Saccharomyces cerevisiae S288C: one gene and its partner. The gene in region 2 interacts genetically with the main gene of each other region. Each region holds a gene or a part of one and is shown on either strand. Other genes may lie near its edges.

Region 1 (3,544 bases), 550 kb from region 2:
TCAAAATAGGACCTAATTTATTATCAAATTCTGCGGATATTATATAGCTGACATTCGGCCTTTCAAAAGGAAAGGATTCATTTTCTATCGACCTGTTGCTGATAGAGTTATTTAGTTCTCTTCGCAACATCCGGTAGCCAAAAATGTTTGCGTACCAAAGACTCTAACAGTGGGCGGTACTATGCTTGATCTTGATTTTATAGAGCTTGCACTTTTATAGAAGAACCATTGCTACCTAGACAGTTTTTTTTGTTTACATTCGAATCATTTTTTTTTTTGCATTTAGTTAAATCCGAAGTCCTGACTAGATAATTTACTGTCAGAGAATAGTAGCATCTATGCAAGAAACTGGTATACAATAGTCGAGAGGTTGTTGTAAAAAACACAAAATACTAACACAAAGCCTGGCTGTTGAGATTGTGCGACATTCTTGATCAGTAAATGGTATTACAGACTGTCTATCAATGTTACATACTTGCTTATTACACGATTTATTGTATTTAAAGTGCAGAAAGAGTCTCAAAGATGTAAAAAACTGCAGCGTTTGCTGGTACTGCCCTAAAAAGGGTTATACCCAGTCCTCGATAAAAACCCTTTAGTCCAAATTTGCCAAATATCTTCTTCACCGCATTGGTGAGGCTTATATGTTCAGTTTGCATTACTGATTTCACAGTATCCGCAGGAAAAATACTGGCGTTGAATGCCAATCCAGCGCTCCCTCCACTAATAAGTAGTTCCCATATCTTACTTTCATCTCTTTTTGGGTCATCAAGGGAGTGCCTATCTTTCAACGACTTCTTAACTATTTCGTAGGTTGCAAACCAGGCAACACCACCGAAGCTTTCTCGAATAAAAGTGCCCGATTGCCCTTGCCACAATCCTGCCAATCCTCTCTCAGTTATAATTGCTTTTATTGTAGGCAACACCTTTGTATGTTTCGTTTTAGCTGATGCAACTTGTAAGTTCGCAACCTGCAACTTACACTTCACCAGCTCCACGGGTGTCAAAACTAAACTAGCACATGAACCCGCTACTCCACCAGAGATCAGGATTTGCCCCAACGGGGAAACGTTTGTATGTTTTTCTAAAAATTTAGAACATTGGTTATAAGACACAAATAATGTCGCGTTCTCCAGACATGCTCCAACTAAAGGTGAAGCAATGCCTTGAAAAAACCCTCGTGCTATTCCTTCATTTTGGTAAGTAAATTTTATACAAGACCATGTTGTTGGGAACACGTTGGATGCTTGTGTTTGCAACCTGACTTTCACAGTATCGAAAGGAAACTCGATCACCTTACCACAGGCGCCTGCAATGGAACCGTTTATTATATCGAGTATAGCGCCTTCTATTAATCCTTTCTTTTTACTGTCCTCCATTATACGTTGACCTTCCAGAATTTGAGTTCCCTATAGGTTAAAGAAAAGTTTCTACGACAAAGCATCTACGCTTTAACAATTAACTATACCCGTGCTTCGATAATTTCACACTTTTCTGAATCTATCGACGCCAGGAGCAGAGAACTTATCATTGGCGATTCTTGACGCTGCGGCCACAGCGGCCACAGCGGAAAACGTATATGTCACATTTTTCGAGCTCAAGGTGAGTCACGATGCAGAACTGGAACGTACTAGGACTAAGTTGCAACGATGAAACTACAATGCTACGCTTTCTTCGTGCTAAGTACTCATTGTATCCATTAATATGGTCCACAAAAAGGGTAGGCTGCTGTTGTGCTTCATTAAGACTGGTCAAAAACACGGATCCAGCAGCAACAGCACCTGCATGGATGGAATAGGATTGGTGCTAAATCACTTGGAATTAAACACAAGGATTTTGGTCGGCAATATTATATAAATATAGTCAGATGAGTGCTTCATTTTTGTTGATAAGTATTAATGAAGATTAAGTGTGGATAATACTGTCTTTGATACTATACATTTAATGTGACGAATTGTATGACTCGTATACATAACTACCAAAGCGTAGATCTTTAACTTATTTTCAGCACTGTCCGAAATGCTCAGTTAGCAGTTTAGTACATTCACGTTAAAACGTGTATGTTCGAATAAAAATCAACTCACTCATCGACTGATATTCATACTACTGGTATATTGTCATACGGTGTAAGAAGATGACATAAAATCGAAAAACAATGGTAAAGTATAATGGCAACTGAAATGCAAGGATTTGATAACGTCATAAAATGATGAAAAATATAAAATGGAGGGAGAAGTAACAGGTACGTAGAAATATTGGTTCCCTTTATGGATCCCTATATCATCGTGCAGAACTTCTCGTATATTCGATATACCTAAATTATAGCCCTTAACAATAATGAAATCCTAACGATTATCCCGAAAATTCACCTATTTCTCAGTATATGAAATGTACATTAACGTAAACACTCATCTTGCTACCATCATTATTTATATTGACATTAATGATCACTTGCTGCAACATTTTTTTATTTTTTCAAATCATATGAAACAAGTATTAATAAAAACACCGTTAACCCAACAATTAAAATCCGTGATAGTTTAATGGTCAGAATGGGCGCTTGTCGCGTGCCAGATCGGGGTTCAATTCCCCGTCGCGGAGATTTTTTTGCTGATTTGATGTGTTCTCGAACTTTGTGATGCCGAAAAAATCAAGGTAATTCCGCCATAGCTACTATATTAGCTCTAAAAAACATCTAAGAATAAAATGGTATTTCAATCATATGTACATATCTAAGTAAAGTTTTTTTTTTTTTAGAAACTTTCTTTATTCATATTTTGAATCAATTCAATTATTTCGGAAAGATCCTCTACTGAAACGTCTACTAGTTCTTTATGTTCGAGCAGTAAATGTCCATTCACATGATTCTTGAGTAATACCGTGAAACATCCAGCAGATCTACCGGATTTCATGTCGTCAAATGAATCTCCTACCATGATCATTTCCAAGGGCCTTATATTTAGCTTCGAGGCGATGTGTAATAATGGGTCTGGTTGCGGTTTTGTAGGCCTAAACTCCCTTGTCACAATATAGTCAAACCTCGAAAGCTCGGATGGAATAAATCTTTTAACAAAAGTCTCTACCGGGGCTCCGACATTTCTAGTACATATGTTCTTGCTAATACCATTTTTCGTCAAATACCTCATTATGTCAACCAGACCAGGCTGCGGTTGCATCTCCTTCATGGCTTTTGCCTCAACTAATTCTATTCTATCATGCGCTTCTTTTTTTTCTTTTTCTGTGGGCAATGTATCAATGAAATGAAGGATATCAATCGATTTGTCCTCCAATCCTATGGCGTTTCTCATTGCTGGAAACATCCAAGGCTGGGGTAGGCATAATGTGCCATCCATATCAAATACAACCGCTTTGATGTGTTTTAATCCCTGTAGTCCTTGTAGCTTTGTCATTATTCTGTGATACACTTTCAGTGACTATTGAACCGTATATATTGCCCGACTATCCTAATGATTGTGTTAGCGGCACCTGGCGATTGAGTCGAACACCCTGATATTTCGTTATAAGATATATATGACTTTTCTGG
Region 2 (6,267 bases):
TTTTATTCTTTTTGGATGAAATGGTTCCCTCTTCTGCCAATGAAGGGGAGACTAGGTTGATGTGTACACATCGTACACATTTTAAGGACACTTATTTCACTTATTGTCCACAGTAAAATCGTTCAGGCCATAATTAAATGCGAACTTAAGAGAACCTAAAAGTACCTCCCAACTTTTATAGTGGAGCTTCCGCTCTTTGGTCAGAAAAAAATCGAGTTCTGAACACTTGGCTTTATATTACAAATTTCTCCCTTCCAAGAAAGACAAGGGGTGCTTATCGCGACATGTCTCACAATAAACTTTATTATATTTATACTTTATTTATTAATAAGAGTTTCAAATAGGATTCTTGGAGAATTTTCAAAGCGTTTTTGCGTATAAGAAACTTTTCGGTTTGGCTCTTATCAGTTTACTGCCGATCTTTCTTCCTCACTGCTTGACCTGCCACTACGGAAGATCTTACCGACAATGATGTGAGCGGCGAGAACAAGGGAAATCTCGTAAGAATAGGAAACAACCTAACCTCATTTACTAAGAGAACCCGCAGGAAAAGATATCTTTTTGAGGCACAATTTTATGACCGCGTGTTTTCGAATTTTGACAGGGATCATGCAGGCAGAGATTTTCATGTCATTTGACAGCAAGTAACCCACAATCTACAGTCACACCCTTTTTGGCTTTTTTGAGGCGGGACTTTTTTTTTTAAGACATAATTCTTCAGCAGATTGAAATTCTGGTAACCTAATTGAGAAATCCCACGCATAATTGAGTTTTAACTTTCGAATTTTTCAGCAAGATAAATTAATGTCTCGCCCGGGCCATAGACAAAAGAAGAAAATCTATAAACATTCCGTGGATCGCCATGTGATATTTCTATTTAATATAGGCACATGGCTATGGCGAAACCTTAATGTGATACTTATGGTACATATATGTAACATGCTATAGTTACAGTAAGGATTGGCAACTTAATTCGTTTCCTTCGATTTTATACTCTTCGAACGTATTTGCAGTCATTGGCAGTAGAACATCATTTAGCACATCCAACGACTACCGTCGTTGTGCACGTGACACTCACCCCAATTGGACACTGACTTGAACTAAAATAACAGCGTGTCATATAGATAAGGAAGATAAATATATTGGAACTGGTAGTATCACATTTCCATCATGAAAAACCCAGTGTAGCCATATCGAAAATATCAGAAACGAGTGGTAACACGGAACCTATATATATTACATAGGCTGCAATGAGTATATTGATTCATGATATCGTAGCTGCTTGAACTATTTTTCAAGGCTTCAAAAAATATCATGGTATTATTAGCATGCAACTTGTGAAAAAATAAATATGCATTACAGTACAAGGATCTGAGTGTTAGATTTATAGTCGGGCCTAGTTGCACTCTTAATAATACGGTATACATAATAATGGATTGCCATCCGACAACTATAGCCAGTCACGCATTTATTGAAGCTTCCATAAAACATTCATTAGAAATTAAAGGGTACAAAAGTAAAAACATTATGTATAATAGAGAATTAGTTTCGTCAATTTTTTTTTTTGCTTTTTTACCAATTTACCGAAAACTAGAAGATCAGCTGGAAAAGAACCTCTTGTAAATTGGTCTATTGTCATGATCTATTGCATCAGCATCGTAATCTGCGGTTCTTCTCTCCGGTGGCACCCATGAGGCCGATTTCCATGCTGGCACACCTTCCAGCCACATAGTATTCACCTCCTCCAGTGTCAGGCCTTTTGTTTCTGGGACAAAGAAAAAGACATAAAAGTATGCAAAAACCAGACAGCCTAAGAATACGTAACCGTAGTAAAAGTTGATTGCCCCGGTAATGAATGGGGTAAAGAAACTAATCAGGAAACCCCACATCCAGTTTGCAGCTGTTGCGATTGCCATTCCTCTTGATTTGACCCTAAGAGGAAACGTCTCTGAGACAATAACGTAACAGCCGCCTGCCCAAGTGGTGGCGAACGAAAAAATGAAGAACATAGTAAACACAATCATACAGTTACCGGCGCCCTGAGAAGTAATGTCTTGGTGACTGCTTCCTTGAGGCCACAACTTTGTCACACCGACGGAGGCAAACACAGCAAAGCAGCATAGCATAGAAGCAGCACCCCACAATAGACACGTACGGCGTCCAAACCTCTCAATGGTGTATACCGCTATGAATGAAGAGAAAAAATTAACCACACCGATAATGATCGAAGTCTGAAAGGAGTCCTTTAGACCGACAGATTTGAAGATGGTGGTACCGTAGTAAAAGAAGTAGTTGTCACCGGTTAATTGCTGCAGCGATTGGATCATCACTCCCATGAGAACACGCTGAAAGACCTTTGTTTTAGTGGAGAGTAGTTCAGACCATGATGCGTTACCTGCCAGCTTTTCAAGTTCAATTCCTGCCTTTATAGTGTCATATTCAACTAGCAAGGCTGGATCGTCAACTGAGACTTTGTTGGATTTCGATAGTGAACGTTTCGCTTCCTCATCTTTACCAACCTCAATCAGGTAACGTGGTGATTCTGGTACAAACATCATTCCACTAACCATGAATGTAGCCCAGGCAAAGCAAAGACCAAGGCCGACTCTCCATTGAGTGGCGTTGTGATAGTTCTTGGTACCGTAATTGGTACAGTATCCTAGAAAAATACCCATCGTACCCATCAGCTGGTACAATTGGACCAGAGTTCCTCTGATATGTTTGGGAGCAACTTCAGATATCAACATTGGGGAAAGGACAGCAATGCCTCCCACTCCTAGGCCAGAAATAATTCTTCCAATGAAGTATTGGTACCACTTGTTTATGGAAGTTATTTGGATTAGGATGCCTACAACGTAAATGGCAGTAACTGTAATCAATCCAATACGACGACCATATATATCACCGACTTTTGACAAGACAATTCCGCCTATGGCGCAGCCAATGTTGAATATTGAGACGATCAAACCCATTCTTACTTTCGATAAGTAGTAGGTTCCCTTGTCATTTTTTTGACCGAACCTTCTGATGAAATCAGAAAGGTTAACAAAACCAGAAATGGTACCGGTATCCCAACCAAAGATGAAGCCGCCAAATGCAATCATCAAACACAGGATTGCGACGGTGGTATACGCAGAGAGGGGTTTTTGAGGTAAGTCAATAGGTGGCTCATTGGCATCTAGGTTAAGGGAATTTTTAGAGTCACCGTGTTCAGTCTTAACAGAGGGAGCGCCTACTGCTGAGTTAGAGTTAGACATGGTAGTAGATAACTCATTTGCGGATGTATTATTAACACCTGACATGATATTGAGTAATAACAAAAGCGTTTAGAACTAAATTGTGCAATGATTATTTTTTTCAACTCATACCAAAAAAAGAAGAAGAAAAAGATAGGAACAAGTGTGCTCTTCTCTAGTTACACAACTGTGACATTATATACCTTTAATTAGCGAAAAAGAGGAACTGAGAAAGATGAGCCTAGACCTTAAGAGCTAAGTAGTATACGGTGTGTCGAACTGCTACTGATACTTTGAACGAAGGTGTCCGAGTGTATGCATTGTTCGTGTGGTCAGCATTTATTGTGGAGGAGGCGGTTTCATCTACAATTTCCGACGCCTGATTTTCCACGGATATAATTTATTTTTTGACACCTGGAGTTTACATTTCACAAAATTTCTTTCTTTTTTAGTTTTGCACTGATTTCCCCTGAAATAAAGAAAAAAAAGAAAAAGAAGGTTTTGTGAAGTGCCAAGGGATGCACGAGAAAAGCACTTATAACTCGCACGGAGAAATGATTATGTAATTTTCGCGGAGAAATGATTATGTAATTCCGCGGAGAAATGGTTATGTAATTTTTGTGGGGAACTGAACAAGGTCAGTTTACGCTTCGTACTTTGTCGTGGGACTACGTATACGCAAGATTGCGGAGGCAGTGCAATAATGGGGTCTGCTTGCAGATGGTATGATCTGCTATAACGGGCCAAGGGCCAGGCACGCTCTTGCAGAACATACCATGTTATATCATGTAGGTTGTGCAAACATTACCTAAAACTGAAAGCTTCGTTTACATACAGCACTCCTTCCAGATCCTAAATTTACTTTGTTCTTTTCTTATTTTCGATCATTCGTAAGACGTCCATAGGCACGTAAAAGACATATATAAGTAAGAAAGACTTCTTCACTCGAGGAATTAGCTGTACTAGAATATATGTTCCATTCACCAGTCCAAACACACAAACAAAAGTGAAAGTTTTTTCATAAAGAAAAGAAAGCAACGTACAATGACTATTTCTTCTGCACATCCAGAAACAGAACCCAAGTGGTGGAAAGAGGCCACAATCTATCAAATTTATCCCGCAAGTTTCAAAGACTCCAACAACGATGGGTGGGGTGATATGAAGGGTATTGCCTCCAAGTTGGAGTATATCAAAGAGCTTGGTGCCGATGCCATTTGGATCTCACCATTCTACGACTCGCCACAAGATGATATGGGTTACGATATTGCCAACTACGAAAAGGTCTGGCCAACCTACGGTACGAACGAGGACTGCTTTGCCTTGATCGAAAAGACACATAAGCTTGGTATGAAATTTATCACCGACTTAGTCATCAACCATTGCTCGAGCGAACATGAATGGTTCAAAGAGAGCAGATCCTCAAAAACCAATCCAAAACGTGACTGGTTCTTCTGGAGACCTCCTAAGGGTTATGACGCCGAAGGCAAGCCAATTCCTCCAAACAATTGGAGGTCTTACTTCGGTGGTTCTGCATGGACGTTCGATGAAAAGACACAAGAGTTTTACTTGCGTTTGTTTTGCTCCACCCAACCTGATTTGAATTGGGAGAATGAGGACTGTAGAAAGGCAATCTACGAAAGTGCCGTTGGATACTGGTTAGACCATGGTGTAGACGGCTTTAGAATTGATGTGGGAAGCTTGTACTCCAAGGTTGCTGGTCTACCAGACGCTCCTGTGATTGACGAAAACTCAAAGTGGCAACCCAGTGATCCTTTCACAATGAACGGACCACGTATCCATGAGTTTCATCAAGAAATGAACAAGTTCATCAGAAACAGAGTGAAGGATGGCAGAGAAATTATGACAGTTGGTGAAATGCAACATGCTACTGATGAAACCAAGAGGTTGTATACAAGTGCATCAAGACACGAACTTAGTGAGTTATTCAACTTTTCCCACACTGATGTCGGGACTTCGCCCAAGTTCCGTCAAAATTTGATCCCATATGAACTAAAGGATTGGAAGGTTGCCCTTGCTGAACTTTTCAGATACGTTAACGGAACTGATTGTTGGTCAACAATTTATCTGGAAAATCACGACCAACCTCGTTCAATTACCAGATTTGGTGACGATTCTCCTAAGAACCGTGTTATTTCTGGTAAGTTGTTGTCTGTGTTGTTGGTGTCACTGAGCGGTACTCTATATGTGTACCAAGGACAGGAACTGGGTGAAATCAATTTCAAGAACTGGCCTATCGAAAAATACGAGGATGTCGAAGTTAGAAATAACTATGATGCGATCAAGGAAGAGCATGGAGAAAACTCGAAGGAGATGAAGAGGTTTTTGGAAGCAATTGCCCTTATTTCCAGAGACCATGCTAGAACACCTATGCAATGGTCTCGTGAGGAGCCAAATGCTGGTTTTTCTGGTCCTAATGCTAAACCATGGTTTTACTTGAACGAGTCTTTCAGGGAAGGAATTAACGCTGAAGACGAATCCAAGGATCCCAACTCGGTTTTGAACTTCTGGAAGGAGGCCTTGAGATTTAGAAAGGCACACAAGGATATTACTGTATATGGATATGATTTTGAGTTTATTGATTTGGACAATAAGAAACTGTTCAGCTTCACAAAGAAATACGACAACAAAACATTGTTTGCTGCTTTGAACTTCAGCTCTGATTCGATTGACTTCACGATTCCAAACAATAGCTCGTCGTTTAAGTTGGAATTCGGAAACTACCCAAGAAGCGAAGTTGATGCGTCTTCCAGAACATTGAAGCCATGGGAGGGCAGAATTTACATATCTGAATGATTGATGATTGTGACGACAAGATTTTTATACATATACATATACTTATTTTTATCTATGTTACATACCGCACTTTAAATAGTAACGACATATATCTGGTAGTGCGGTATGAGTTATGTAATACACTAAAGTATAGTTTTGTGTAGCATTTTCCATATGTCCTTGCATTGGTATTGTATTATAATAATGCTGAGAGAAGGGTTACTCTATAGCTCATTTG

The links. A genetic interaction does not mean that the proteins touch.
Region 1: mutations in HXT11 (region 2) and ORT1 together harm fitness less than expected from each alone (positive genetic interaction), as found in Saccharomyces cerevisiae (one large-scale study listed by BioGRID).

Annotation. Positions count from the first base shown.
Region 1 is NC_001147.6:569,429-572,972, forward strand, and holds ORT1 (Ort1p), read right to left. Parts: upstream 1,380-3,544; coding exon 501-1,379; downstream 1-500. Other genes in the region: AFI1 (Afi1p), read right to left, coding at 1-130; YOR131C (putative haloacid dehalogenase-like hydrolase), read right to left, coding at 2,754-3,410. UniProt on the Saccharomyces cerevisiae protein: Required for arginine biosynthesis. Transports ornithine synthesized from glutamate in the mitochondrial matrix to the cytosol, where it is converted to arginine.
Region 2 is NC_001147.6:22,308-28,574, reverse strand, and holds HXT11 (hexose transporter HXT11), read right to left. Parts: upstream 3,303-6,267; coding exon 1,599-3,302; downstream 1-1,598. Other genes in the region: YOL155W-A (uncharacterized protein), read right to left, coding at 1,357-1,491; oligo-1,6-glucosidase IMA2, read left to right, coding at 4,281-6,050. UniProt on the Saccharomyces cerevisiae protein: Probable glucose transporter.